4 linked regions of the Stegostoma tigrinum genome follow. The protein of the gene in region 1 binds, or shares a complex with, the protein of each later gene. Links are inferred from orthologs where the notes say so. Each region holds a gene or a part of one and is shown in the gene's direction. Other genes may lie near its edges.

Region 1 (7,387 bases):
GTAAGTACACAACTGAGTATTAACTGGACTTGGGTACAATTAGTAAATGTTATGTTGTGACACCATAAGGAATGGGATTAGAGGGATACTGCACTCCTCCAGTCTAGGTCATAACAGTGGGAATTGCCCCTTTAAGAACATCAGTTGCAACAAGACGCGAAGATCATCCATAGGCCTTTCCCTCATTAAATTAAATGGGGTGGAAGGAAGAAGGCTGTGGGAATTCTCATCCACAACTCACCATAGGAATGCAGTAAATTCCACCCATGATTTCTTGGTCCTGCAATCAAACATGTAAATAATGGGTTAGTTAAGACATGCAATTAGGTTCAAGCAGAGTATCTAGATTGAGGTCAACAAACCATTACTTTCATTTTCAAAGGTTTGTGTAATTATGAAAGGGAATCTTCTAAAGTCCTTATCCTAGCTTTGGACCTCATAGGCACGAGACATAAGTCCGAAGCAGATTTTATAAACCTTTCAAACTCTATCAATGTGGATGAAGGAAAGTCTGTGTTTATCTATGAATTGAATTAAACAGAATATATTACAAATTCTCTAATCATGTGAAAATTATTGGATTGTTTTTATGCTGCCGCTTAACCATTTCAGGAAGCTGCTTTATTGTTCATAGTTTTAGTTGTAAAATGTAACAGAGTAATTATTATCTGCCACCCGAAGCCAAAGAATTCATGTCACTTTTCTATTTCTGTACAATTCCTGCACAATATTGCAAGACACATAATGTAAAGTCACAATCTAGCATGTGGCAATGATGTTCAGTGATGATGATGGTTTCTCCGTTACTTCAATGGATATATGCTTAGTAAGGAGTCTCATTTTTTTCCATTTAGGTTAACGTGTGTCTCATACAAAATGGTAAAGCAATCTCCATTTGCAGTTCAGATTGCAAATGTTATATAGCAAATCATTCTGTGTGAACTCACTGGCTTTGTGATGTGTTTGACTTGACCCTTTTCTACTTAAATGTTGAGAGTGCTTGATGTCAGAGACGTCTCAGACATACCCTGGAGCATACCTTGGACTGTGATTCAGTCATGGGCAATGTGGAAGTTGCCTGGAGTAAATGGTGAGCAGAATATGCCAGGTACCCAATTTGGTTTTGATGTTGAGGTTTCCTGACATCCAGCTTTTTAGGTGAGTTTAGTAAGATAGGGCCTAAATATTAAGGATGCAAATTGGGCCATCAACCCGAATTTTAACCAGCAATAACACCCCCCCCCCCCCCACTTAATTGGATCATGGCATTGACTCAACTTTCGTGCATTGGTGGAATTTACCGCACACTTGTCTATACCAATAGAAATGGTTTTCACAAGATTCGTGATTCCAAAGAAGCCTTGTCAAAAAGCTTTCAATGCCTAATGGCCTTCCAGAAACCTTTTTTTCAAATAACTAATCCATGTAACTTTTTTTCCCACTGAGAAATATTAAATGCCTTCATAACAATGCCCACTTTAGGGTTATATCCCACTACTGCAGGAGGCACAGCATACATGGAACTCTGGAGGGATTATTTGCAACCTTCAAGAGTGTGAAGGGTTCCCTTTTTCAACGGTATTTATAGCCTGATTAAGGATTCCACATCGAGTAGGGAGTTGGCCTGGTAACAGCAACTTTCTCACTCCTCCTGTTGATCCCCCCAAAGCCCTTTTACCAGAAGTCCACATCCCATGAATAGCCTCCTACTACCCTTCTCCTGTGCCCCGGTCCATCAGCAATGCTGGATCTTATCTGGTGGTGTACTGGCAGCAGCCATCCCCTCTCCAATGGCACTACTTGCTGTAGAAGGGCTGCTAGCCTCTGACTGGCTTGTGATTCTTAGTGGGTGGAACTTCCATGATTTTGGCAGAAGGCCCTCCACTGCTCTATCAAGTGCCTGTGATATAGGGCTTTTGTCAGCTGTCCAACCAGTGACCAAGAACCCCATCTTCTCCATTAAATCCAGCCCACACATTTGATGAGTGGTTTCCGTCTGCATTTACAATCAGCATGTATTTGAATGGACATATTTCCTACAATTGCAACAAATGAATCGATGCACATAGGCACTGGAGAAATTCCTTCCCAATGTGCAGCACTAAATTTACTGTGGTGAGTCAGATCTTCAAACAGCTCAGAGAAAATGGAAACTGCAGATGCTGGAGAATCCAAGATAACAAAGTGTGAAGTTGGATGAACACAGCAGGCCAAGCAGCATCTCAGGAGCACAAAAGCTGACGTTTTGGGCCTAGACCCTTCATCAGAGGGACCCGAAACGTCAGCTTTTGTGCTCCTGAGATGCTGCTTGGCCTGCTGTGTTCATCCAGCTTCACATTTTGTTATCTTCAAAGAGCTATTGGTTCATTTTGTGGTCAGTGTCAAGTATTGGCACTTATCACTAAGCTTGAAGGAACACACCCTCCTAGATTGAGCAATTTCTGTATGATGGGTTTTGCTATTACTGACTTTAGTTTCAATTTGACTTCTTGTTGAGCAACTTGACGTTAACCAACCAATCACAATAAAATAGTCTTCAGGCTGCAAACCAGGAAATAAAATGCACTGGCCGTTCTTCGCCTTAGAGTGAAATAGATGTTTAAGTCACACACATTTGAAGCTTAAATCACATTGGAAAAAGAGAACTTAAAGTGGAATGGAAAAAAAAATTTAGACAAATATGAAATTAGTTTTCAACAGCCAAAGAGACTATTCAGCAGTAGTACAACATTTAAAAAAAGTCATACTTCATTGACAAGTTGCTGACTTTGGGTCATCGCTGGTGGTGGTTAACGGCAGTATTACAACATAAAAGACAAATTGCTGACTTTGGGTCAACGCTGGTGGTGGTTAACAGCAGTATTACAACATAAAAGACAAAGTTCTTTGTCTGTTTAGTGATTCGAAGTTGATCACAGTTTGAGGAAGTTCGACAGTATGCCCTAGTGAAACAATTAGAATCAGTGGCAGCAACTTCTACATCTGTCTCCACATGTACACAATGGCAAGAGATTATTGATTTCAAGAGGAATAACAGTGGCACTTTTTCATTATCATTGCTACCACAAAATAGCGAGGGGGTTCAAAAACAGGAACAGGAGTGATTTGCTGTGACTGTACAATAGATTTGTAAGACAACACCAGGACAGTGTGTGCAGTCTCAGTTTAAGAATAAAGGGTTTGCCTCTTAGGATTGAGATGTGAAGAAATTTCTTCACCCAGAGGGTAATGAGCTTGTGGAATTCTCTGCCAAAGGAAACTGCTGAAACCAAAACATTGAACATTTTCAAGTAAGTTTTAAATATGTATATAGGTCCTAGGACCAAAAGGATCAAAGCAAATGGAGAGAAAACAGGGCCAGCCATGATCGAATTGAATGGCAGAGCAAGCTCCAAAGGCTGAACAGCATTCTGGTCCTATTTTCCATGCTTCTATGTAAACTGGACTGAAAATTAGAAATCTGAAAATCAGAGTCTTTGAACGTTTTAGAGTTGATGCAGATGAGACACTTGATGACCAAATGGGTAAAAGATCATTGGGTCAGGCGGAAATGTGGAGCAATCAGATCTTGTGATCTAATTGAATCACAGAGGAGGATTCAGGAGCGAGTGGCCTATATCTGCTCCCAATTCGTATCTTCATACCCAACTGACTCAGTTTCATACGCACGGCCCAACTGAACACCACAAAATCATGCTTACAAAGGAAACCATAAAACAACGGAGAGACTATAAACGGTCTTATGCAAGAAAGCAATCTTAGGAAACGAAGATTCTGAGTGGAAATATCAATAATTGTGAAGATGAGCCAACATCGCACAGCCCTATCAATGCTGGCCCACGGTCCTGCGGCACAAGACTGTACCCCTATCAACGCCCCGCCCCGCCCCCTCCGGTGCGGGCCCCGCCTACTCTAGTTGTGGTACCCTCCCACGGACGCCCGCTACCGCCCACTCAAGGTCCCAACTTCTGCGCCCAGCCCCACCGCATTCTACGCCCCACACTGGCCTCGCCCACTGCAAGGGCCCGCCCTGTTTCCCACTGCGCCCCGTCATGGGCGCCCGTCCCTAGGCCGCGCCCTCTCCCGATTAAATCTCCGCCCACGGCTGGACAGACCACACCCACCATCTGTCCCGCCTTCTCCTGCCAAAAGCCTCTCCCCCTCTTAGGACGCGAAGAGTTCGCCCTGTCAACGCCACAGGCCCCGCCCCCTCCACAGCGGGACCCCGCCTATGTCCCATCCCAGGCCCCGCCATCTCAAACAACAGTCCCCGCCCCCTGCCGGACCTGCCCCCTGATCTCTAGGCTCCACCCCCACACTCCGCCGCGCTCCTTCTTTTCTCCTCCCCTTTCCAGTCCCGCAGTTGGTCACCTGACTCTAGCTTAGCCGCGGCCATTTTCTGTTGCTATCTGTAACCTGTAAGTGGGGGACAGTGCAGAGGCAGTATAATTCATTGTTGTGGCTCCGCTGGTTTATTCTACATTCCCTTTCTACGGTTGTGTAGATTCGGGAGAGGAAATCTGGCATGTTTTCCAACATCGGTGGTCGGTGAAAGGGAGAAGGGTTTGTGTAGCTCTCAAGAAGATCCCGGAGAAAGCCGACCCGAAGGAACATGGCTCTGAAAATCGTGAAAGGCAGCATTGACCGAATGTTTGACAAGAATTTGCAGGACCTGGTACGTGGCATCCGGAACCACAAGGAAGACGAGGTGAGTTGGAGCTGTTTTGCAGCCACCGTCACATCGCTGTCACACGAGAATGAGGAGGATTAAGAAACACGGGGAAAGTAACTACAAACGAATGTATCCGAGGCCTAGCATTGATAACAACGGGACAAACCGATCTTTCCATTCTTCACTTCGGCCCGGCGCTCGGGATAGTTCATTTCAGTCTGGAAACTGGGCTGTGGGACGAGCAGCTGCTGTTGACAGGAGCTCCCAAGAATCGGCTCCTTTTTTTCTTCTAACCTGTTTTTGCCTGGCGTTTAATTTCCTTGCGAAAATGTAAATCTGTGTTAAAGCAAACGCCCAAAATAATTGTTTCCCTTGCCAGCCGTCCCCGTTTCTATCTCCCCTCCAACAGTAATACTTATTTTTTTTATGAAATTGACAGTTGAGGGTCCAACTGTGTTTTGGTCCAAAAGCTGATAGTTTTGCTGATGCTGACGTTTGGTAACCTGATCACCAAGGGACGTATGTGGCCAAGCTTCTGACTTGACTCACACCTTATTGCTTACCTAATTGTGCGCGAATATGTTTTACGTTTGTCAATACTTTACCTACATAAACGGAAAATGTGCACATATTGAAGTCCTGATGCGTTGTTGTTGTCTTGAATTTCTCAATACGGCATTTCATTTTGTTTTGACACGGTTGTTTAGTGTATAAAAGTGGTCATTCACTCCAACGTAGAGTTGTAAAACCTTTGGTGATGTCGTGGTAAACCTGTGGTATAATCCTTGTTTGATAATTTTGGTACTGTACCTTTTTGTGTTTCTTTAGCTAACAACTAAGTTAACCTTTTGAGACTGGAGATGACAATGCTTTTCAAAACAGATGTTTTAAACATAGTGGAAAGCTCGCTCTTCTAACAGGAATAGCTTTACTCAAGTTAAATTAACTAGGTTGAGTGCAACCAATATTGTGCTCCCCCTACGATGACAGAATTTGTCCTGTGTACTAGGATCAGCTATTTTGTTTTAAAATAGTGAATGAAAACGAATGTTTGAAGTTTTGTGCCACTTGACACATATATACAGATTTTATCAGATGTTGATTAGTTCACATCCATTCATAATTATGTTGAAAATTTTAAACACTTGCTATTCATTAAGAAATACTAGTTAGATCACAGATTTAAAGAGCCAATTCCTCATAAGTTTCACTTCGTCTTTTGTAGGTGACTGTGCAACTTGAGGGAGAGGGGGTAGGATATGTTCAATGACAAGCATTGTGTTGGGGTGAGACAGGCTTGCTGGACCAACCCCAGTCCAGCATTGGAGCGCTTAAAAATCGAGGGTGGCACTGCAATACTGTTCTGAAGGACATTGTTAGATATGGCATCATGCGCATGAAAGGCCATCTGACTACTTGAATGAACATAAACATTTTAGCACCAATTCACTGAATGTCAGGGTGTAAATTCTGGTGCTCAAGTGAATGATTACCCCTTGATCAACATCTCAGAAACATCTGGTCACTGACATATTGGCTGTGAGAGCTTGATTTGTGCAAATTGGTTTTGTGCATTTCCAACACTTAAAATACTTAATTCACTGTATCATTCTTGGAGTAGTTGTGAAAGGTGCAACAATGCAAACTTTGTAGATTTGAAGAAAAGTTTTTTTGTTAATTTTTGTTAAGGGTACAGTCATCAGGTTACATTTCTTTGCGGCAGTATGAAAGTTTTAATGTGGGAGTTGGAGTTTTGTGAATGTAATCAGGTTGTGAAAAAAGCTTTATGCGTGCCAAACTGATATGATTTGTTGGGGAGTGGAAGAGAGACGGAATGCAGTTTTGGGCTTTTTTTTGGAACTACTGATTTGTTAGTTCTTAAGCAGAAGAATCATTTGGGAACAGTAAAACACCAATCGTGTAGGTCAAGGTACCTTAATTTTGTTAGGAGAATGAGGATAGCCAAATTAATATTGTCAAAAGTAATTTGACATGTAAACTTCAGCTATAACATGATTAAAATTGGTTTATATTTTGAGCGGTTGTATTCCTTTCAGTGACTGCACAATCCCAAAAACTGTGAAATCATCTATAGTCGGTGTTTCCAACTGCACTTTTTGATTCTGTGTCCTGATTCCTTTACTTCAAGTTAAACTTTTAAATTATAATATTTAGCATGTTTGCTTCATTCGATTAACATATGCTGCAAGCATTGGGACATGTATTTAAACTTTATTTAGGTTTCTGAAGTTCCGCCCATGCGTGGTCTCTATGCACCAGAGGAAATTACAAATAATAGCAAAAGTTAATATCCATGGAATTCATTTTAGTAATATAGCAAAACACAGACTCCAATTGTGCCAAACTGCTCTGGTGAAGTTGTGTGGTTGCACGCTTCTTTTCATTCTGCATACTGCTAGCCAACATTATTCAGTTCTTAAGTAGGGAGTGTGTAATTGCATCATCTGACATTGGTGATATTGGAAATTGTTTAAATTCAATTTACGTGGCTGAAGCTAGTGCACAAATCTTGTTTCTTGACATTGTAGGGCTGCAGTTTTGCTTCAGTTCTGTTGATGCAAAAGTGCTAATGGCAAATGGGTGAGTCAAATCACCATAAGCATTTTAAATCTAAGTTGTATAATCCTTTCCAATAGCTGGCTTTGTGACCTCTGTGCTGCATGCTAGTTGCAGCAATCTTCAACTGTCCATAAG
Region 2 (6,957 bases), on another chromosome or scaffold:
TTGCTCAAGTGACTGTTCTCCATACAGAACTCGACGGTGAATGTTGGTAAACTACCTGCTCCACAGCCAAGCAAACCCGAAATTTTCCTCACTGTTATACAGTAACAGGTTCCAGAAGAGGGAACTGATATTTCAAGAACTGGTATGTTGACTATTTTTATACAAATTCTTTAGGGTAGCTTTGACGGCAGCCATGAAATCTTGCACGCAAACCTCATCAACCTTTGAATGTTCCACATTTATTTCGTGTCGGAGCAAAAGGAGGGATTAGGATTTGTAGTTAAGTCAAAGATACGCAGCTGTTGAAAATAATTCAGCTTGGAAGTATGTAACTGAGGTTTTGGTGAGAAAGGCAGGTGTTAGACTATGGATATAAATAGATGCATAGTTAACAAAAAGGAAGTTGTGCTAAAACCTTATGAATCAATGGTTAGGTTTCACCTTGAGTATTGTGAATCAAAGAAAAACATTCAATAACATCAGGTCCAGTGGACTCAACGGAATCATGTTACAGCCAACACAAAGTTCGCACTGTGGAAATACCATTCACTGATTTGTCAATTGCATCATTCTCAATTCGTGTTGCTGGAATGCGCATTATAGCAGAATGCCCTGTAGGTTTACTGTCATTAGTACTCAAGTACAGGAGTACAGTGAAAAGTTTACAATGTTGCCCCACTTGGTGTCATTTCAGATACAAAATACCTAGGTACAAATCTTAGATACAAATAAAGAGATAAAGAAAAAATGTTGAAGTAGAACACAGATGTTGTGTAGGGGGACTGTTTTTTATTGATATTCTTACTTTTTGAGCAATATTGTCTCATCTACTGCTAATACAACATCTCATGATTGACAATACAAACAAAATCAAATTCAATAGTTCTCAAGGTGTTTCACAATAGACTCATCTTCTCACCCGCACTCTAATAAAAATTCCTGAATTTGGTGGCCTCTATTTGTATACTTTACTTTTCCTTCTTTAATACTCTTCCTCTCCCTTCTTGTTGCCTTCTGAATTCATCATCTGCAAGGCCTAATTTTAAACCTAAACATGTTGGTGTGTTTTGAAATTTATTTATGAATTAATGGGATGTGGGCAACATTGGCTAGCCTAGCATTTATTACACATGCCTAATTGGTGCTGAGAAGATGGTAGTGAGTTGCCTTCTTGAACTGCTACAATCCATGAGTTCCAGGATTTTGCCCTAGAGACAGTGAAGGAATGGCGATGTTGTTCCAAGTCAGGATGGTGTGTGGTTTGGAGGGGAACTTGCTGGTGGTGCTGTTCTCATGTACCTGATGTCCTTTTCCTTTAATGTTCTAGAGAGAACTGGTTTGTAAGGTGCTATCTAAGGAACCTTGGTGAGTTGTTGCAGTGCATCTTGTAGATGGTTTTTGACCCCTCTGCTAAGGGAAAAAGTTTCTCTCTATCTATTTAACCTTGTATACTTTAATCAGATTCCTTGTCAGCCAATTCTTCTTCTTTTCTATTTAGTTTTTCTTCATAGCTGATTAACTCCAGTCCAGGCAACATCATGGTAAATTTCTTCTGCATTGACTCTAATGCAATCACATTTTCCTATAGTGACAATAAGAGCTCCATACAGTGCTACAGCTTTGGCCGAACCAATTTTATAGACAGCTCAATCATCAATTCTTTGCTTGTGTATTCAATGTCTTGACTATTCAAGGTAGGTATTCCTTATGACCTTATCTTCATGACCTTATCTATCTGTCCTGATGCCTTCAAGGATCTATGGACATGCACACAAAGGTCTCTTTGAACCACTGCGCTCCCTAGAGTCCTACCATTCAAGGGGTACTCCCTTGCCTTGTTAATTCTCCCAAAATGCATGACCTCACACATTTCAGGATTAAATTGCATTTGCACTGTTCAGCCCACCAGGCCAGTCTGTCTATATAGCCCTATAGACTAAGGCTTTCCTTCTTGGTGTTAACTATGCCAACAATTTTTCAGAATAGAGGTAATAACATATGAAAAAATATCAGTTGATTCAGAAGAGTCAGTCTGGACGTACTAAGGGAAAATCTTGTCTAACTGATTTGCTCGACCTTTTGTATTGTTGTTGTGAGGACAAAGCTGTTATATGGTGCACATGGATTTCCAAAAGGCATTCAATACAGTGCCACACAAAAACCAGACTTATTAAGAAAGTTATCACGTATGGAATAAAAGGGACAGTAGCAATGTGGATACAAAATTGACTGAGATAGGAAACAGAGCTTAATAGATAATGGATACTTTTTGTGCTGCCAGGTTTGTAGTGAAGTCCCCCAGGGTTCACTTTTGGAATCCTTGCTTTTCCTAACATAGGAATAAATGATTGAGATCTTATGTGCTAGGTGCAATTTTCAACCTTGTGGATGACAGAAATCTCAGGAGAATTGGAAGTTTGAAGAGGACAACACAGAACTTCAAAGGAACATTGGCACTTTTGTTGAGTGGGTCGATAAAGTTCAGTGTGAAGTATGAGGAGATACATTTTGGTACAAACATGTGTAGAGACAGAATAAAAGAAACTACACTTTTCCAAAGGGTGTGTCAGAGAATAAGGTCTGGGTATTTATACATAAGTCATTTAAAGTGGCAAGACAAAGAGAGAACTGTCTCTTCTAGGTATGAAGACAGGTTGAGTGGATTAGGGTAATTTACATTAGAAAGACGGAGGTTGAGGAGGGGACCTGACTGAGGTCCACAAAATCATGAGAGGTATAGACAGGGTGGATAGCGAGAAGCTTTTTCCCCAGAGTGGGGGACTCAATTACTACGATTTCAAGGTGACTGGGGAAAAGTTTGAGGGAGATATGCGTGGAAAGTTCTTTACGCAGAGGGTGGTGGGTGCCTGGAACGCATTGCCAGCAGAGGTGGTAGAGGTGGGCATGATAGCATCATTTAAGATGTATCTAGACAGATACATGAATGGGCAGGGAGCAGAGGGACACAGATCCTTGGAAAATAGGCAACAGTTTAGAGAGAGGATCTGGATCAGTGCAGGCTTGGAGGGCCGAAGGGCCTGTTCCTGTGCTGTAATTTTCTTTGTTCTTTGTCAATAAAGCATATTCAGTATTCTACATTTCATTAATAGGAGCAGGGAGGTTACAATGAAATTATATAGCAGCTGGAGTATGTGTACAAGAAGGATGTTAATGCTTTTCAAGGTGGTCCAAAGAGCTTGTTCTGTTTTGTGTTCATTTTAGACAGTGCAGAAGAAATCTAAAAGATTTGCTAAATATTTTCAAAATCCTGATGAAATACCAGTAAAAATTACAAATGATGCATACTAGTCCAACCTGTCTGTAGTATCAATAGTGCTCTAATATGACCAGTACATTTCCAAGTTTTTTTTTCCCTTTTTCTCTCTGGGTGCATAGTAGTAACATTATTAGAGTGTAACCCTTTGTAATAATTAGAGTGGTGATGCTCTGAGAGCATGTTCCTTCTTACATTACATGGGCTTTGACACTGAGTTTCAATTACCTTTCATTTACCACTGTTCATCTCATTCATTTCATTTGGCTCATTTGTGGGCCAACTTTTCCGTAACTTTAAAAACATATTTTATTCATAGACATATCTTTATGTACATACAGTCGTTTCTGTACAGTAGCATATGGATAACTACACACACATTAGGAGTTTGACTCCATCCAACAAACAAACCTGAGACGTTTCTTACTTATATTTCTGAGCCAATTTCCTCTTGTACGACGACTCCCTGAATTTGGCATCGTCGTTTTGGAAAGGGACGTGTGATTATAAATGTGACCTACTCCGTCTCTTACGTCCTTACCACGAATTTGCATTGAGTGTTTTTAAAGAAGAAAACAGCAACTCTTTCCCCTCCAGTTGAGCAGGGCGGCGTCACGACGGTTATGTGCAAGGGGCGTTTCCATGGTATCGCCGGGTCATGTGACCTCGGTGTCAGCTGACCTCCTCCCCCGGCAGATTTCCGGTGTCGCTCGAGTTGGGACCGGCTGGCAGGCGGCGGGGACTTTTCGACATTACCCAGATTAAACTAACTGTTCACACCACTTTGGCAGCTGGTGCCCGGGACACGGGGCGAGCATGGCGACCAACAGCACGTCCTACAATGATCAGGCTCTGGGAAGTGAATCGACCGAGTTGGGCCAAGAAGCCTCGGCAGTGACTTCAGGAGGAGGGGCAGCAGCTGGGTTCCGGCTCTTCAGCGTAGACTACAAGAAGTAGGTTAAAGAGCGCCTGAATGCCGGATTTTACACACTCCTTCTGCTCCGTTCTCTGATACAGGAACTCTTTCGTGCTACTAGTCCTTGTTGTGAAATATAGTTTTCGTGAAAGGCCTTTGGCAAACTTGTTTTTTCGTGCTGATCCATGTCCCAAGGCGACTAAACACTTTACTGTGAGCAAGTACTTAGTCCATTACATCGGTGCTTTTTTTCCCCAGCTTTCGTTTTAGATTGAAGTGCTGTAAATTATTGAGTATGGCCACTTTACAAACGTCACGTGATGAGAGACTTAGTTGTGACAGCTTTGAAAAGGGCTATTTGGCCTGTCATGTTTGCATCATTTTCTGAATGAGCAATTTACTTAAAACTATTTATTGCTATCTCACTAAGACTGTGTAGTGTCCCCTTTCAAATGATAATCTACTTCACTTTTAGATGTTACAATTAAACTATACCTTAAGACTATTTGTTCCAGGTTGTTGATGTGTTCCAAAACTCTCTTTCATCCACTCACCATTGCTTCTTTTGCCATTTAGTTTCAATCTGTGCAGTGTTGTTCTCTGTCAAAAATTGCAGCCCCAGGCGATAGTCCAACAGCTTTATTCGAAGACAACTTCTGGGAGTTCCGCTCTGGCTTCAGATGAGACTCTGAAAGCTTCTGTCTGCAAATAAGCCTGTTGGATTAAACTTGGTGTAATATGATTTTTGACCTTGTCCACTCCAACAGCAGCATCTTGTTCTTGAGCCTTCTAACAGTGGGGTTTTAGTTCAGTATTCTACCGTGTCGAGAGGCCTGTGAGATGTTGGATATCTCCATTGAATCTTGTTTAAACTTCTACAAAATAAGTAGCCCAAACTTCTCCAGTTTACCCATGTAATTGAAGTTCCTTATCCCTGGAACCACACTCATTGTTTTGTGTGTTTTTTCCAGTTACTTCCTATCCTTTTAGACTAGACCAGACCAGACCAGACTAGACTAACCACCAAGTGTGCGCACACCCCATCATTATGACAGCCTAGGTCAGGTGTGGTGTTCCAGATACAATTTGATTTGTCAACTACCAGTCTTGAAGCAAAAAATACCACTATTTGCACATTTAGTTAAAACACAATAAAAATTCAAATAACCTAACTGCTGGAATACTTAACAATAACAGACTAACTGCTAAACATTAACTCTTAAACACAGAGATAGCAGGAACTGCGGATGCTGGAGAATCTGAGATAACAAGGCGTAGAGCTGGATGAACAAAGCAAGCTAAGCAGCATCAGAGCACAATTTCTGCAGAAGGGTTTAGGCCCGAAACATCAGCCGGCCTGCTGTGTTCATCCAGCTCTACACCTAGTTAACTCTTAAATACACCCTTGGCAAAGGCAAATTCAATAAAATAGTGTCTCACATGCAATTCTAGCAGCAGGAAGAGAATCCCCAGCTTTTAGCTGTAACAGAGAGAGAAAAAACAGCTTCCACATCCAGCTTCAAGACCCCAGCAACTGCCACTGAAAAACTAAAACTAAAAATCTTAGTTCTGTGGGAGCTTGACATGACTCATTCAGGCTACTGCTTTTCCAAATTTAGGAAAAAAAGTCCAAAGCCACTTTGGGGTTTATGGGCTTTGAAGCAGATTGCTCATACTTCTGTCTCAACCTTTCTTCAAAACGAAGCACTAAATACACCTGTTAAAGCCATTGTAGTGTTAGTGTTGAAATGTCTTCAGCAGTGCTGTCAAACAGCACTTGCTCAGCGATAACCTGGTCATTGACACCCAGTTTGGCTCTGTTAGGGCTCTCAGCTCCTGACCCTATTACAGTTTTGGTTTAATATGGACAGAAGTGCTGAATTCCAGAGGGGAGAGTGAAAGTCCTTGACATAATGGCCACATTTGACTCCAAATGGGACCAAGTTGCCTTAGGGAAACTGTAATCAATGGGAATGGGGGGCAAACTCCGTGCTAGTTGGAGTCATAGGAAAGTGGTTGTTATTGTTGGAAGCCAGTCATCTCAGCTGTAGGGCACCTCTGCTGGAGTTGTTCAGGGTAGTGATCAAAACTTGTGTCAGAGAAATGCCAGGTAGTGACCATCTTCAGTTGAAGACAATCTATTGCCCCCTTGACATTTAACGGTGTTTCCATCACTGAATGTCCCACTTCGAACATCCTGGGGGTTGGCATTGACAAAGACTGGGCTTTGCACAGAAGCGCAGTGACTGCAACAGCAGTTCATAAGCTAGGAGTACTGCAGCGAGTAACTCTCCATCTGACTGCCTGAAGTCTGCCCACCACCTACTTGACATGTCAGGAATGTGACGGAATACTGCCCACTTGAGCAGCTCCAACAATGCTCAAGAAGCTTGACTCCGTCCAGGAACAAAGTGGCCCACTTGACTTACACCACAACCCCTCCTCCAATGCTCAGTAGGACCAGTTTGGTGAATTTTTGAACTGCAGCTTGTGGATATTACAAGGATTCTTGAAAACACTTTCCAAACTCATGACCATTTCCATCTGGAAGGCCAAGGGCAGCAGATACATGGGAACACTGTCACTTGCAAGTTCACCTCTAAGCCAGCCACCATCCTGACTTGGAAATATATTGCCATCCCTTTACTCTCACCGGGTCAAAATCATGGAATTCCCTGCCTTAAGGGCATTGTGGGTCAACCTACAGTATATGGACTGCAGTGATTCAAGAATGCAGTCAACACCATTTTCTCCAAAGACATTTAAG
Region 3 (7,022 bases), on another chromosome or scaffold:
ATTCCAGCATCTGCAGTTTGTTTTTTGTCTCAGAAAGAGGCACAAGCTGATTAGCCTCCACAGTTATCAAACAGGGCTGTCTATTTGTGATAATGGGAACTGCAGATGCTGGAGAATCCAAGATAATAAAATGTGAGGCTGGATGAACACAGCAGGCCCAGCAGCATCTGTGCTCCTGAGATGCTGCTGGGCCTGCTATGTTCACCCAGCCTCACATTTTATTATCAGGGCTGTCTATTTGTTTACTTGGGCTCACAGCTATTTACTGAAGTAAGCCTCAAGGCCAGGATGGACATTATTAAAGATTTGAAGATTTAAAACATGAGCTTTGTTTGCTATAAGAACCAAGATAAACTAGAGTAATAAGTTAGATAAGATCCCGCAAAAAATATGAGAAGTTTCCTGCCTGTCTTAGAAAATTGATAAATATTCAGCAGAGCAGTATGCATATAATTTTGCATTAGTACCACAATATGGCTGTAGCTAAAATGGTAACACAGCCAATCCTTAACTCAAAGTTGTCTCTACTTGAATTGTATTGAAAATTAACTAAGCGTTGTAGAAAATCTTAACTACTACATCATTCAAGGATTGACGGTTGTGGGGAATACATTATCGAAGGAGGCTGCTGAATCTGATTGCATCAGCAAATCCAAGCTAAATATTCTTAAATGATTGAAAAAAATTTGATGTACATGTTTTAGAGCTCTCAGCGGATGTGATATTTCCAAGGTATTGGATCTACTCTTCTGAGCTTTTCCAGCAATTTCTGTTTTTGTTTCTGATTATACTTCAACAGATGCATTTAGCTGAAAGGAAATCTGATCAGCTTGCAGAAACTAACTACAAAATGTTTGTCTGTATGTCAGTGTTCACATAACTAAGGACAACTTGTCATCTTAATTTTGTACTTTTGCTCCCTAACAATGTTGAAGTCAGTGAAGTATTTTAGGACGGGGTTGTATGAACAAATTGGCACAAATAAAATATGGAACCCAAAGAAATAGCGAGAAAAGAGATAGGTTTGAGGCTAGTATAGTAGATAAGGAAAGTTAAAGAGTCAAGGCAGGCAAGAGCACAGCAGAGAATGAAGTAAGGCTCATAAATTAAACTGCATTTATTTCAAAGCAAGAGGCCTGACAGGTAAGGCAGATACATTTAGGGCATGATTGGGAATGTGGGACTGGGAAATTATATCTATTTGAAAATCGTGGCCCAGGGAGAGGCAAGATTGGCAGTTTAATGTTCTGGACTACAGAAATTATAGGGAAGATAGAAAGTGGGGGCAAAGCAGGAGGGTGAGTGGAGTTCTTGGTTGTGGATAACATTAGGTTGTACTTAGGCAAGGCATTCTTGGAAGAACGTCCAGTGAAGTTACATGGGTGGAACTGAGAAAGAGATGATCAACTTATTGGGATTGTACTATAGGGCCCCCAATAATCAGTTTGAAATTGAGAAGCAAATATGTCAGGACATCTCAGATATACAAGAAGAATAGGTTGTAATGGTAGGGAATTTTAACTTTCCAAACATAGACTAGCACTGCCATAGTGTTAAGAGCTTGGTTGAAAAGAAATTTGTTAAGCGTGTATAAGAAAACGTTCTTATTCAGTACGTGGGTGTACCAGCTAGGGGAGCAAAACTGACCTTCTCTTAGGAAATAAGGTAGGGCAAGTGACTGAGGTGCCAGTGGGGAAGCACTTTAGAGCAAGTGATCATAATTCTACTAGTTTTAAAATAATTATGGAAAAGGATAAACCTGATCTAAAAGTCGAAGTTCTAAATTGGAGTAAGGCAAAATGTAACAGTATTGGGAAGGATCTTTTGGAAGTTGATTAGGGGAGATAGGTTCACATCTAAAGATACAGTTGGAAAATGGGAGACCTTCAAAAACAAATTAATACGAATTCAGAGACAGTGTGTTTCTATTAGTGCAAAAGGCAAGGCTGGTAGGTATAGGGAATTCTGCATGTCTAGAAAACTTGAGGTTCTGTCAAGAAGAGGGAGGTACATGTTAGGTAGACAGTTGGGGTATAGTATGGGGCAGTAAGAGTGTACTTAAGAGGGATTTCACAAAGGCAAAAAGGAGACGAGAGAGCTTTGGCAAATAGTGTTAACGAGAATCGAAAGAGATTTTACAAATGCATTGAGGGCAAAAGACTGGGGAGCTAATAGGGACACTTAAAGATCAACAAGGCCATATACGTGTGGAACGACAGGAGATGGATAGGATACTAAATGAATATTTCACATCAGTATTTACTGCTGAGAAGGACATGGAAGCTAGAGAACTTGGGAAATAAATAGTGATGTTTTGAAAAGTGTTCATAGGAGGTGCTGGAGGTCTTAAAATGCTAGGTACAGATAAACCCCAAGTCCTGATCAGCTGTATCCCAGAACTTTGAGGGAAGCTGGGTGCTTGATGAAATATTTGTATCATCAATAGTCACAAGTGAGGTGCCAGATGACTGATGGGCGGCTAATGTGGTTTATTTAAGAAAGGTAGTAAGGAGACACCAGGAAACTATGGATTGGTGAGCCTAGTGCCAGTGGTAAGTTCTTAGACGGGATTCTGAGAGACAGGATTTATATGTATATGGAAAGGTAAGGGCTGATTAGGGATAGTCAACATGGCTTTGTCTGTGAAAAACTGTATCTCACTACCTTGATTGAGTTTGTTGAATAGGCGAAAAAGAAGATTTACAAAGGCAAAGCAGTACACCTTGTCCACATGGACTTTAGCAAGGCATTTGACAAAGTTCCACATGGTAGACTGCTTAGCAAGGTTAGATCACGTGGGATTCGGTGGAGCTAGCCAACTGGATACAAATTGACTTGAAGGTAGGAGAGACTGGTGGTAGAAGGTTTTTTTAAAAAACTGGAGACCTGTGACCAGCAGTGTGCAATAGTATCCATTGCTTTTTGGTATTTATATAAATGACTTGGATGTGAAATATGAAAGGTATGGTTGGTAAAGTTGCAGATGACACTAAAATTGTTGGCAAAGTGGACAGTAAAGAAGGTTAGAGATAACACGGCGTAGAGCTGGATGAACACAGCAGGCCAAGCAGCAAAGCTTGACATTTCAGTCGGGACCCTTCTTCAGTAAAATAGGTTATCTCAGTGTAAATTGGGACCTTGATTAGATGGGCCAAGGAGTGGCAGGAGTTTAATTTAGATAAATGAGAAGTGTTGCACTTTGGTAAGGAAAACCAGGACAGGACTTACACAGTTAATGGTAGGACCAGAGGAAGCTGAACAATGAGGCTTTGGGGTCCAAATGCATATTTCCTTGAAAGTGGAGTTGCAGGTCGACAGGATGGTGAGGAAGGTGTTGACACACTAGCTTTTATTCATCAGAGCACTGAGTACAGGAGTTGGGAATTCATGATACGGACAAACAGGAAATTGGTAAGGTCACTTTTAGAATACCATGTGAAGGATATCTAACTGGCGAGTATGAGTTGGACTGCAAGGTCTGTTTCGGTGCTGTATAACACTATGACTCTACGAGGAAAAAAGTCAATCCGTTTGGACATATTCCAAATGTCAACCTTCGCCTTCCGTCCCACCCGCACCTTTATGCACCTGTCATTGTGCCAAAGGAAGTCATTCAACATGGAATCCTGATCTTGACTCTTGAAAATCTCTGATCTTCCGACGGAAGATAGGAATAAAATCGTTCAATAAAGACCGTTAAAAGTATGTATTCGTTTTACTCAATGTGATAGAAAATACCTACAGAAGACTGTGAAATCATTAAGTACCCTAATAAACGAGCAGTCTAGCACCCACCACTGCCAAAAAAATCGCGTGAAAAGCTTTAATACATTTTTTGTTAACTTAAGCCCATTTTAAAACGTCTTGAATTTACGACGTTTTTTTAAAAAAGAAAATCCCACTCAGAAACTAAATCGGGTGTTCCTAAAGTTATCTCTAAGGCCGTTTGATAGGCGTTTCGAAATAGCGCAATGACTTTCCTGAACGGTGGTGGTTGCCGTCACGGTGTAAAGGGCTGGCAGCTGGGAGGAAGTTTCCTGTGACGGACGCTTCACTTCGGGTTCGGTTCCGCCCACCTCGGTTTTTACGTTCATGTTTCGGAGAAATTTCGTTTCAATTCTCAACTGCCAGTCGGTGCTCCGGGAAGAGGGCTGTCCGGTCGTCATGATTAAAGCCATCCTGATATTTAACAACCATGGCAAGCCGCGGCTCTCCAAGTTTTATGAGCGCTATGTGAGTATGAGGGAGAGAGGGCCGGGATCGAAGCGCCCGTTAAACTGTCAACTTCCGCGTGCGGTCTGTACATCTAAACCGGGCACGCGCTCCAGGCCACATTCCAAAGTAGGGCTTGCGCTCGGAGCAACCTGGCGTCATCACAGAGACGGAGTCTTGCTCTCAAAGTGAGCTTCTACATTGGGCTGTCACAGCCGCATAGTAGAACCGCTCCACTTCGCCCACCGGCACTCGAGCACCGTATTTTGAATTCGAAGATTTGCCCGTCGGCAACTGTAAAGTTGGTGTACAGATTACACCAGGCTTTATTTCAATGAGCTGTACTGAATATTCCAAAGCAGAGATAGGTGGTGTTTCTTTCGAAACGCTGTTCTTCAGGTTGTCCTCCCCGATCTATGTGGTTGCGAAATTGCAGCATACAGCCATCGGCTGCACGAAGCGTTGTTTTAACACACGAGGTCAGACAAAACAAACATTTAAAGTTCAGCGAAGAAGAAAAATACTAAACTAAAGCAACATTTGTTATTTACGCATTGGGACGAAGTACCTTTTGAGTTTATCGAAAGCAAAAGTTTTCGAACTACATGTTGGAAAGGCAGGAGCGGTTGAAATCCAGTAGCGGCTACCCTGTGAGTTCATCCTGTGATAAATGCTTTCTAATTAGGGGGGCGTCTGAGGGAAAGGGCTGTGATATATTGGCACATCAGTAGTTAAGGTTGAGATGTGAGATCATCGGAGACTTGGAAGGCGATAGGCATTATGTGTCTAACTGTACAGCGTTCTAGTATTCCTACAAAAATAAAGTTTTATCAGACCCTAATTACTATTGCAAATACAGAGTGCATTTATATAGTGGCAAAGTGCGTTACAGCCAATGAGGTATGGACTGTAACAAGCAAAAAGTACTGGAGGAAACTCTGCAGGTCTGACAGTATCTGTAAAGAAAATCAGAGTTAACTTTCCAGTCCAGTGACCATCGTCAGAACTGATACGATCTCTTGCGCTGAAGAACACCTGGCAGCCACTTTGTATACAACAAGGTCTCTCAAATAGTCATGCAATAATTCAAAAACTGTGTGTTTGAATCTGTTGGTATTGGCAAGGATGCTAGAGATCACTCCCTTGCTGCTGCTCAAAAGAAATGTCATGGTTTTTTTTCATATACCGGCTTAGAAAGCAGATCACTGTGAATTGAACATCACCTCTTGATGGGTGTGGTGTGTTAACTTAGTTTTATTCTCCAGTCTTTGGCAAGAGTTTAATTAGGGGTAGGAATCAGCCATTTAGCCCCTTGCATCCACTTTGCCATGTTCTAACATGGCAGATAATCTATCTCAACATCTTTTTCACACATCATCCAGGTATCTGTTGATGTCATTAGTATTGAAAACTCAATCAATCTCTGTCTTGACTACAGAGATAATGGGAACTGCAGATGCTGGAGATTCCAAGATAATAAAATGTGAGGCTGGATGAACACAGCTGGCCAAGCAGCATCTCAGGAGCACAAAAGCTGACGTTTCGGGCCTAGACCCTTCATCAGAGAGGGGGATGGGGGGAGGGAACTGGAATAAATAGGGAGAGAGGGGGAGGCGGACCGAAGATGGAGAGTAAAGAAGATAGGTGGAGAAGGTGTGGGTGGGGAGGTAGGGAGGGGATAGGTCAGTCCAGGGAAGACGGACAGGTCAAGGAGGTGGGATGAGGTTAGTAGGTAGCTGGGGGTGCGGCTTGGGGTGGGAGGAAGGGATGGGTGAGAGGAAGAACCGGTTAGGGAGGCAGAGACAGGTTGGACTGGTTTTGGGATGCAGTGGGTGGGGGGGAAGAGCTGGGCTGGTTGTGTGGTGCAGTGGGGGGAGGGGATGAACTGGGCTGGTTTAGGGATGCAGTGGGGGAAGGGGAGATTTTGAAACTGGTGAAGTCCACATTGATACCATATGGCTGCAGGGTTCCCAGGCGGAATATGAGTTGCTGTTCCTGCAACCTTCGGGTGGCATCATTGTGGCAGTGCAGGAGGCCCATGATGGACATGTCATCAAGAGAATGGGAGGGGGAGTGGAAATGGTTTGCGACTGGGAGGTGCAGTTGTTTGTTGCGAACTGAGCGGAGGTGTTCTGCAAAGCGGTCCCCAAGCCTCCGCTTGGTTTCCCCAATGTAGAGAAAGCCGCACCGGGTACAGTGGATGCAGTATACCACATTGGCAGATTGGCAGATGCCCCACTGCATCCCTAAACCAGCCCAGTTCATCCCCTCCCCCCACTGCACCACACAACCAGCCCAGCTCTTCCCCCCCACCCACTGCATCCCAAAACCAGTCCAACCTGTCTCTGCCTCCCTAACCGGTTCTTCCTCTCACCCATCCCTTCCTCCCACCCCAAGCCGCACCCCCAGCTACCTACTAACCTCATCCCACCTCCTTGACCTGTCCGTCTTCCCTGGACTGACCTATCCCCTCCCTACCTCCCCACCCACACCTTCTCCACCTATCTTCTTTACTCTCCATCTTCGGTCCGCCTCCCCCTCTCTCCCTATTTATTCCAGTTCCCTCCCCCCATCCCCCTCTCTGATGAAGGGTCTAGGCCCGAAACGTCAGCTTTTGTGCTCCTGAGATGCTGCTTGGCCAGCTGTGTTCATCCAGCCTCACATTTTATTATCTGTCTTGACTACATACAGTTAGAGTTTCCAAAGCCCACTAGGGCAGAGAACACTAAAGATTCCTCCCTCTCCTGAGCCGAGGAATTCTTCCTCATCTCAATGCTTGCCCCTTATCTTTTAGAATCTGTGGCTTGGTT
Region 4 (7,372 bases), on another chromosome or scaffold:
TTATTGTTCAGATGTTGCTACCTGGGATTTGGAAAGAAACATTACAGGTGATGTAAATTCAAAGATAAACAAAAATAAACCGTGAAGTAGTAAGATGCCTGACGATTAATCCAAGACCTTGCAAGTCACAGGGCTGCAAAATATCTCAGGTTAAGTCAGTCACTGGGCAAAAGACTACCAGATCATCCTTGTTCATATGTAGCTGCACTTTGAATTCATCAGTTTTCTTTCAAATGCGATAATAGCGAATTCAGATGGAGTCTTTAGTTGTACCTTAGTAATGTTGTAAAGTCTGATCTTAATTATTTGTTACCCTTATAATTGCCATCTCTTCAACTGTCTGTTTCCCATGTACTACCTTCTTCTTTGACCTCTGCTCTATGCTTTAATTTATCACCATCCCAAATTTGATCCCTTGCCATCCCCAGCCAAAGTACCATGACAAACTCTCCTTCTCAACCTCTCCTCTCACCTGCTGTGTGGTGACACTTAGGTTAAACCATCATCAGTCATTTCGCTCACATGAGAGAGTTAGCCTATAATCCGGTAAGACTATCACAACATTTTACTTCCCTCGTTATGCAGCTGGCAAGAATACCAGCTCCAGCATTGTTCAGGCACAGATCATCTGATCAATACAGATCCGACATGCACTCATTCTGGTACCAGAGCTGCATGAACCAGAACACACCATTCCCACACCAGACTTTGAGCCAAGTATTCTCCTCTCTAATTTGATTTTCCTTATGTCAAATTGCTCAGGAAATAATCCAAAGATTATGAGGTTCAATGAGAAAGCTTACATATTTACGTCAATAAGAGAATCAAAGTAAATATGGGTCCCTTAAAACTGACACAGGAGAAATAACGCAGAATAGCAAACGGCAGAGACATTAAACAAGTTATGAAGTATAATTATGTAACAGTAAATATGCTGCAAAAAATGATTATAGCACACACTGACTGTATGCAGTTGAAACCAGATCAACTGTACTCCCACAGAACAAGCTCATTACAATATATATCATAATGGGAATATCAGAAATCGATAGGCATAGACAAAAATTTGGATTTGGGTTTAAATTCCATTATAGTGTAAAGAACCTGTCTGCTTAATTTTCTCAGAGATAGTAGAAACTGCAGATGCTGGAGAATCTGGGATAACAAGGTTGAAAGCTGGATGAAGACAGCAGGCCAGGCAGCCTGATGTTTCAGGCCTAGGCTCTTCTTCAGAAATGCTAAATTGTTTAATTTTAAATAAACTAATGTTTAATTTTCTGTATTTTGACTGGGGATCAAAATAGGAAAAGGTCTATTTTAAAAATCAAGGATTGCTGCATTGTGTACAATTTGGAGCTTTGGCTTGACATCTGTGGACACAGACACAGAGTTAATGTTTTGAGTCCATGAAGGACCCTTCTTCAAAACAGCATTTTCTATATTTTCCTTCTACAATTATAGCATTCAGCAGAGGCTTTTAAGCCTTTGTGGCCGCTAAACGAGCAGGAATCACAGCACAAATACAAACGTGACCCAGCGTAACTCAATCATTTAGGAAAACATTACCAAAATATCTGTCTTAAGCCTTTCAATGTCATCAGCAAGACAAGACTCTTTGCATAAACAAATGCCAAATTTTCCTTCCATTTAAAACTGCCCGCCTCACTGCATTTTCTTAGCTGCCATGAAGTTACGCTCTATATTTACTTTTTTTGTATCATTTCAAACCTTGTAGCTATATTACCAACTCTCTTGCTACTAGACTGAAAAGGTAGAGTTTCACAAGTCAACCTCCACAGCTTTAATCTAAGAGTTATATCTTGAGTAAACAAGTGGAACAGAACACTCAGTAAATTGTCAAATGACAGGATTGCATAACTTAGCTGCTACATCTACACAATATCTTCGGCACAAGAAGAGCTAGCATGAAAAGGCAGAGTGGCAGAGTGTTAACACAGTATGGAGCTGGAGAAGCACAGCAGACCAAGCAGCATCAGAGGAGCAGGAAAGCTGACATTTTGGGTCGGGTCCCTTCTTCAGGTCCCAAGCCAAAATGTTAACATTCCTCTTCCTCTGATGCTGCCTGGCCTGCTGTCTTCCTCCAGCTCCACACTATTATCTCCGACTCCAGGAGCAGCAGTTCTTACTATGTGAGTGGCATATTGTTATTGCCCTGGACAATTAACCCAGAATAATGTTTTGCCAACATGGTAAAAGGTAGGGTAGAAATTGAATGCCCTTAACAGATCTGGCCTATATTTGACTCCAGACCCACAGCAGAGTAGCTGATTCGTAGCCTCTTTTTCAAGCCAAGCAAGTCTCAGCTCACAGGTAATTAATTGATGGCCTTGACAGCACTCCCCTGAAATAATAAAGGTAGGGGAGAGAATAAGGAAACAGAAAAACAAAATATGCAGAAAAATCCTGGATTAAAATCTTGGATTGGTTTCCAATCAGATATTTAAAAAAAACTTGTCAATTTTAGTTAACTGAGCAAATTGAACAAAAAAAAAGCGAAGGACCAACACAAACGTTGTCACGGTTAAGAATTTCCATTGATTATAGATCGCTTCATTATGGCAACTTGTTACCTCTGCTCATGATGACACCCAACTTGTGAGCTGCTTAATTCCCTAGACTCGTCCCACCCATGAATTTTTGAAATGCACAATGATAAATGTTAATTAGCATAAATAAAAATCTAATTTTCCTTCGTATTCTATGATACTAAAGGCTGCGAAGCTGAAATAGACAAGCATATTTTCTAAATGGAAACTAACAATGAAATCAAAAAACCAAATGGAATAAAAAGATCACAAGTAGGCAAACTGCAGCGTGCTTAATAAATTCGTTCGTGATCTTCACGAAATCGAAGGAACACCCTACTGATGCATGTAGCAAATCTGGATGAAAATTGACTGTTGTGGACCTGTACACGGACATTGAGATCGAACCAGCGATAATCGCGCTGCAAGGGAGGAACCGGAGAGGGGAGACGCGCGTACCGCGAGGAAGGGAACGACCTGCGCAAAGTGGAACTTAAGCGGGGGGTGGGCGAGTCAGTCAGAGACAGAGTGAAGAGCTGCAGGCACTTGATTGCTGTCCAAGTCTATTTTGTGCAGGGGTAGTTAGTACCAGCCAGGACGCAATTACTTTGGGGGGGGGGGGGGGGGGTGTGGGTGGGAAGAGCGCTGGGTTGTGTTTTTGATTACTAGTCTCCGAGTTTCATGAGCTGCAATTTTGATACAACATGAAAGGTCCAATGAAACCACATTTTGGGGAATTTTTAATGACTTTTCAAACAGGCAGTGGCTTTGGCATTACTTGAAGCTTTTCCTTTGCAACGTGAAAGGTCGTTTGGGCTGTTTTGTGACCTTGAGTACAGAGAGGGAAGACAAATTAAAAGTCCAACATTAAGGAGTCTGACCAGCGTGGTTAGATTTTCAACAAAAGGCACAACAGCAAGTAAGAAAAACTAACAAAAAAATCTCAGCAACAAATTAAACCACCACAAAAGCCAATCGTATATTTCAAAAATAAGAGTCTATAAGTCGAATATGCCCGTGGGAGTAGAGCACAACTTTGAAGCCAAACCTGCTGTCTTAAAATTGCTGCAAATGCACGGCGTGGCAGACACTCATTTGAAATATTTCTTGCTTATTATACGAAAGGCATGATCGACTTTTCCTGACAATGAATGAAGAAAATCTTTGAACGTGCGCTGGGGGCAGTGTGGTTTCAAACCATCAACAATCACCGTTTAAATATAAACCAAAAGATCAGGCACTCTGTTTTCATGACTGGGTGTTCCTTTTTACCTGAGGGAATTGTGCTGCAGCTTGATCTTTTTCGCCGGTTGAGGTCCGTCCGTTGCCATTACTTCCCAATTCACGCCGCCGCGCGCTGCAAGGGAGGAACCGGAGAGGGGAGACGCGCGTACCGCGAGGAAGGGAACGACCTGCGCACAGTGGAACTTAAGCGAGGAAGTCAGAGACAGAGTGAAGATGCGCGGTTAGAGGAAGGGGGCGGGGGAGAACTGTAGCCGCGTCGGGGTTGGGCCCTGCGGTTGAGGGGCGGGGCAGGACTGACGGTATGCAAATGAGGAGAGGGATGGTGCCGGAGAGGCGGCGCGTGGGGAGGAGTGTGAATGGGTGGAGCGGCGGGACGTGGACAGGAGGGGTCCAGTACAAAGGAGAAACGACAAGGGCGGGGCTAGCGTGGCAATGCGCATGCGGAGTAGGCAGATCACATTGGCAAGATAATAAAGTGTGAAGCTGGATGAACACAGCAGGCCCAGCAGCATTTTAGGATGCTGCTGGGCCTGCTGTGTTCATTCAGCTTCACACTTTATTATCTTGGATTCTCCAGCATCTGCAGTTCCCATTATCTCAGAGCACATCAGCAGCCCAAGAGGGCGGTACAAGCAGTCAGCAGTGGGAGCGGGGCCCGAGCACTTTAGGAAAGCAGACCATTCAAGTTCATAACGTGAAATATTTGTCGCTTAACATTTTACGCAGTCCAGACCCGCCCACTAAGTCGCAAGCAGTGACCAGCTGAATAGAAGCGCGTGAAGCCTGGGTTTGCCAAATTTTCAGAATTATTCGGTGGTAGTTTTCAGGTATTGGATGCAGACGCGAGAGGGCGGGTAAAAAATAAAATGATCGGTCTGTTAACAACATGGCTATCAATTTTATTAATGATGCAAACAAAAAAGAAATCTATAGGTAAAAGAAGTCACAAAGTCGATTTGGACCATAATAGGGAAACGACGCAACAATCAATCAATTGGCCTGTAATAATTTTGAAAACCCAAAAGTACATGGAGACCCAGCAAGAGACATGAAAGGCGTTGTTTTTAAGTCACAGGACGTGACATTTTGGGAGAAAGCGACCCATGATTGTCCCTTTCATTTACATGCAATGGAATTAGTAAAACAAACCTGTTTCCAATTGGGTTAGCACCAAAATATACCCACTTCCCCTCTCAATCCCCTTTTTCGTGCAGAACTCGTGCGGTGATTCATGAATGTTTTATATTTTCTTTAAAATCTCGTTTTCTGTTTCCAGGAGCTGCTTCCGGCGGCGCCGCCGCCATATTCCTGGGGCTGCTCTTTGACGGATTGATTTGATGCCTGTGAGGCTGTTCGTGTGGCCGGGCAACACCGCTTCACGGTTTAAAAGGACACAAATAAACCGCTGGGACGAAACAAGAAAAAAATGATCCATAGCCTGTTTCTCATCAACAACACTGGCGATATCTTTCTGGAGAAACATTGGAAGAGTGTGGTGAGCCGGTCAGTCTGTGATTATTTCTTCGAGGCCCTGGAGAAAGCCGCGGAGGCGGAAAATGTGCCTCCGGTGATCCCCACACCCCATCACTACTTGGTCAGCACGTACAGAGACAAGATCTTCTTCGTTGCTGTCATTCAGTCCGAAGTGCCACCTCTCTTTGTCATTGAGTTTCTCCATCGAGTGGCAGAAACTTTGCAGGTTTGTACACGCCACACGTAAGGGGGAAATCAAAAAGTCCGTCACTGTAAATGGAACTACCTTCGGCGTCTTCTGTCAGTTTATTTCGATGTGAAGTGAATCTCTTTGCAGGAGAATCTCGTTTGGGGAATTTACCGATGTTGCGCCTAACACTGAATGTGTCCTAGCTAGAGCCTGGGTGGGAGTTAGATGATGGTTGGGTTCAAGTCCCCTTCCAGAGACTTGAGTGTACAATTCAAGAAAACAACAGAGATCCTGTGGCCATTCGAAACTGTTCTACCATTCGGTGTAACCTCTTGGGGTTAATTCAACAGTTTTTACGTACTCCCCAAACCCCTTGATTCCTTGAGATACCAAGTGTATTCAGGGAGTACTGTACGTATTGTGGGAGAGAGGGTGCCTCAGATGAGAAAGGAAATCGAGGTCTTGTCTACCTTCTCAGGCGGACATAAGATCCTTTGATACTGTCACAAGGAAAGGGGCATCCTGACTCTTGATCAATATCATTATCACTTAAGACATGATTTACGATGTGTAGCATTCTTGGATTTTTGACCCAAAAGTGCTTGCATTTTTTTAGAAGTACTAGCTATAAAATGAGTTGTCCCAAAGCTGTAAAATGTGCCGTTAAGTGTATATTTTTAAAAATCTTCAGTCTGACACAAATAGTTTAATTAAGGAATTGCATTATCACATTGTTCTTCAGGACTATTTTGGAGAATGCTCTGAGGCTTCAATTAAGGATAACGTTGTTATCGTGTATGAACTTCTGGAAGAAATGTTGGATAATGGTTTTCCATTGGCTACTGAATCCAATATCTTAAAAGAACTAATTAAACCTCCTACAATTCTTCGCTCTGTTGTTAATACTATTACAGGTAAGAAGTGGCTCCTCTACCTCAGCAAAAGAGTGGTGTTCAGAATTATGAGGATTTTTTTTGATACTAGGAATAAACTCTCTTCTCTGGCATGAGGGTCTTTAAGCTAAGGTTACAGAAGTAAGATAATTTATAAAACAACTGAAGGGGTGTGAAGACACTTCTGTTTTTCCATACAGGGTTGTTGAGATTTGGAATATTTTACCTCAGTCATGGAAACAGATTCTGTAGGTACATTTAAAAGACATATTTGGTGAGGACCAAGTTATAAGGCTGTTGGAAAAAAGCTGATGGATGGGACTAATTCACGTCGCTCTTTCAAAGAGGCATTGCCTGACCCATCTCCTCCTGTACTGTAAGATTGTAAATTTGAGCAATGGGTCTACATGCATGGACCATCATCAGATTGAAGATACACATTGTGCTTAATTAACTTCAGTTGAGGTAACACTGTTGATATACTGAACATGGACGTGCAAAAGCATTTGTCAAATTGCTGTGCCACAAACATGAGCAAAGTTAAGAGCTCATGAAATAATTGCTACAGTGGCAATATATTTTCGAAATTAGCTGAATAACAGGAAACAGCAATGTTTAATGGAAACCAAACAGACATTGCTGGATAAGCTTAGCAGGCCTGGCGGCATCTTTAGAGAACGTTTCAGGTCGAGTGACCCTTCCTCATGTGACGAGTGCCCTAGGGATTGGTGATAAGATTCCTGTTCTTCTTGATGAATATGAATATCTATACCGTGCACAATTTCAGAATGTGACAAAGACACAAAAATTAATCTTTTAATGAACTGAGAGGGGGTCATGCAAATCCTCAAATGGACGTAAGTTACATGAAATGGGTGGAGAAATGGCTGAAGAAGTTGAATGTAGTAAAGTGAGAAGTCATTCATATTTGTCAAAAGACCATGGATGGGTCAGTAAAAGAAAAAGTACAATTTTAAAGAGGATGCAGAAGCAGGTCAGCCAGGGTATATTTGCAGAAATATGGA

What was found.
Region 2: the proteins of ap3d1 (region 1) and ap3b1a are in contact, whole or in part, in a cryo-EM structure (PDB 9C5C), measured with the Homo sapiens proteins. The link is inferred for Stegostoma tigrinum from reciprocal best matches to the Homo sapiens genes AP3D1 and AP3B1. Residues at the interface, in NP_003929.4 of Homo sapiens: Lys352, Leu442, Ile446, Ser471, Tyr483, Trp487, Glu491, His517, Ala520, Val521, Gln524, Asn525, Lys528, Val561, Gln562, Ser563, Ala564, Leu566, Glu567, Gln569, Glu570, Arg571, Ser573, Cys574, Gln577, Leu578, His581, Ile582, Leu585, Lys588; in NP_003655.3 of Homo sapiens: Asn75, Lys466, Lys467, Gln470, Val494, Ala497, Ser498, Trp501, Leu531, Leu534, Gln535, Asn538, Lys542, Asn567, Tyr568, Asp569, Asp572, Arg573, Arg575, Phe576, Ile577, Gln579, Leu580, Lys586, Gly588, Ala589, Leu590, Ser591, Tyr593, Lys596.
Region 3: the proteins of ap3d1 (region 1) and AP-3 complex subunit sigma-1 are in contact, whole or in part, in a cryo-EM structure (PDB 9C5C), measured with the Homo sapiens proteins. The link is inferred for Stegostoma tigrinum from reciprocal best matches to the Homo sapiens genes AP3D1 and AP3S1. Residues at the interface, in NP_003929.4 of Homo sapiens: Leu18, Gln19, Val22, Arg26, Cys60, Thr63, Tyr64, Gln66, Met67, Leu68, Gly69, Tyr70, Asp71, Ile72, Ser73, Lys87, Phe88, Thr89, Arg92, Ile93, Leu96, Gln100, His103, Tyr126, Leu132, Thr133, Ser136, Tyr161, Lys164, Lys165; in NP_001275.1 of Homo sapiens: Met1, Lys13, Pro14, Arg15, Leu16, Ser17, Lys18, Phe19, Pro22, Tyr23, Glu25, Asp26, Gln28, Gln29, Arg42, Asp43, Glu44, Asn45, Val46, Cys47, Asn48, Phe49, Ser80, Glu81, Ser82, Glu83, Leu84, Gly85, Leu87, Asp88.
Region 4: the proteins of ap3d1 (region 1) and AP-3 complex subunit mu-1 are in contact, whole or in part, in a cryo-EM structure (PDB 9C5C), measured with the Homo sapiens proteins. The link is inferred for Stegostoma tigrinum from reciprocal best matches to the Homo sapiens genes AP3D1 and AP3M1. Residues at the interface, in NP_003929.4 of Homo sapiens: Lys29, Glu388, Gly389, Thr390, Thr391, Arg393, Glu429, Arg432; in NP_001307192.1 of Homo sapiens: Ser25, Ser27, Asp30, Tyr31, Glu34, Pro52, Asp104.

What each region holds. Positions count from the first base shown.
Region 1 is NC_081383.1:19,184,080-19,191,466, reverse strand, and holds the start of ap3d1 (AP-3 complex subunit delta-1), read left to right. Parts: upstream 1-4,374; 5' UTR 4,375-4,612; coding exon 4,613-4,708; intron 4,709-7,387. UniProt on the Homo sapiens protein: Part of the AP-3 complex, an adaptor-related complex which is not clathrin-associated. The complex is associated with the Golgi region as well as more peripheral structures.
Region 2 is NC_081356.1:107,905,621-107,912,577, reverse strand, and holds the start of ap3b1a (AP-3 complex subunit beta-1), read left to right. Parts: upstream 1-3,940; 5' UTR 3,941-4,090; coding exon 4,091-4,227; intron 4,228-6,957. UniProt on the Homo sapiens protein: Subunit of non-clathrin- and clathrin-associated adaptor protein complex 3 (AP-3) that plays a role in protein sorting in the late-Golgi/trans-Golgi network (TGN) and/or endosomes.
Region 3 is NC_081356.1:77,147,924-77,154,945, reverse strand, and holds the start of AP-3 complex subunit sigma-1, read left to right. Parts: upstream 1-4,007; 5' UTR 4,008-4,092; coding exon 4,093-4,233; intron 4,234-4,365; exon of another isoform or gene 4,366-4,817; coding exon of another isoform or gene 4,818-4,862; intron 4,863-7,022. UniProt on the Homo sapiens protein: Part of the AP-3 complex, an adaptor-related complex which is not clathrin-associated. The complex is associated with the Golgi region as well as more peripheral structures.
Region 4 is NC_081390.1:13,541,386-13,548,757, forward strand, and holds the start of AP-3 complex subunit mu-1, read left to right. Parts: upstream 1-4,362; 5' UTR 4,363-4,618; intron 4,619-4,935; exon of another isoform or gene 4,936-4,954; intron 4,955-5,067; 5' UTR 5,068-5,217; coding exon 5,218-5,490; intron 5,491-6,196; coding exon 6,197-6,368; intron 6,369-7,372. Other genes in the region: adenosine kinase-like, read right to left, coding at 3,819-3,877. UniProt on the Homo sapiens protein: Part of the AP-3 complex, an adaptor-related complex which is not clathrin-associated. The complex is associated with the Golgi region as well as more peripheral structures.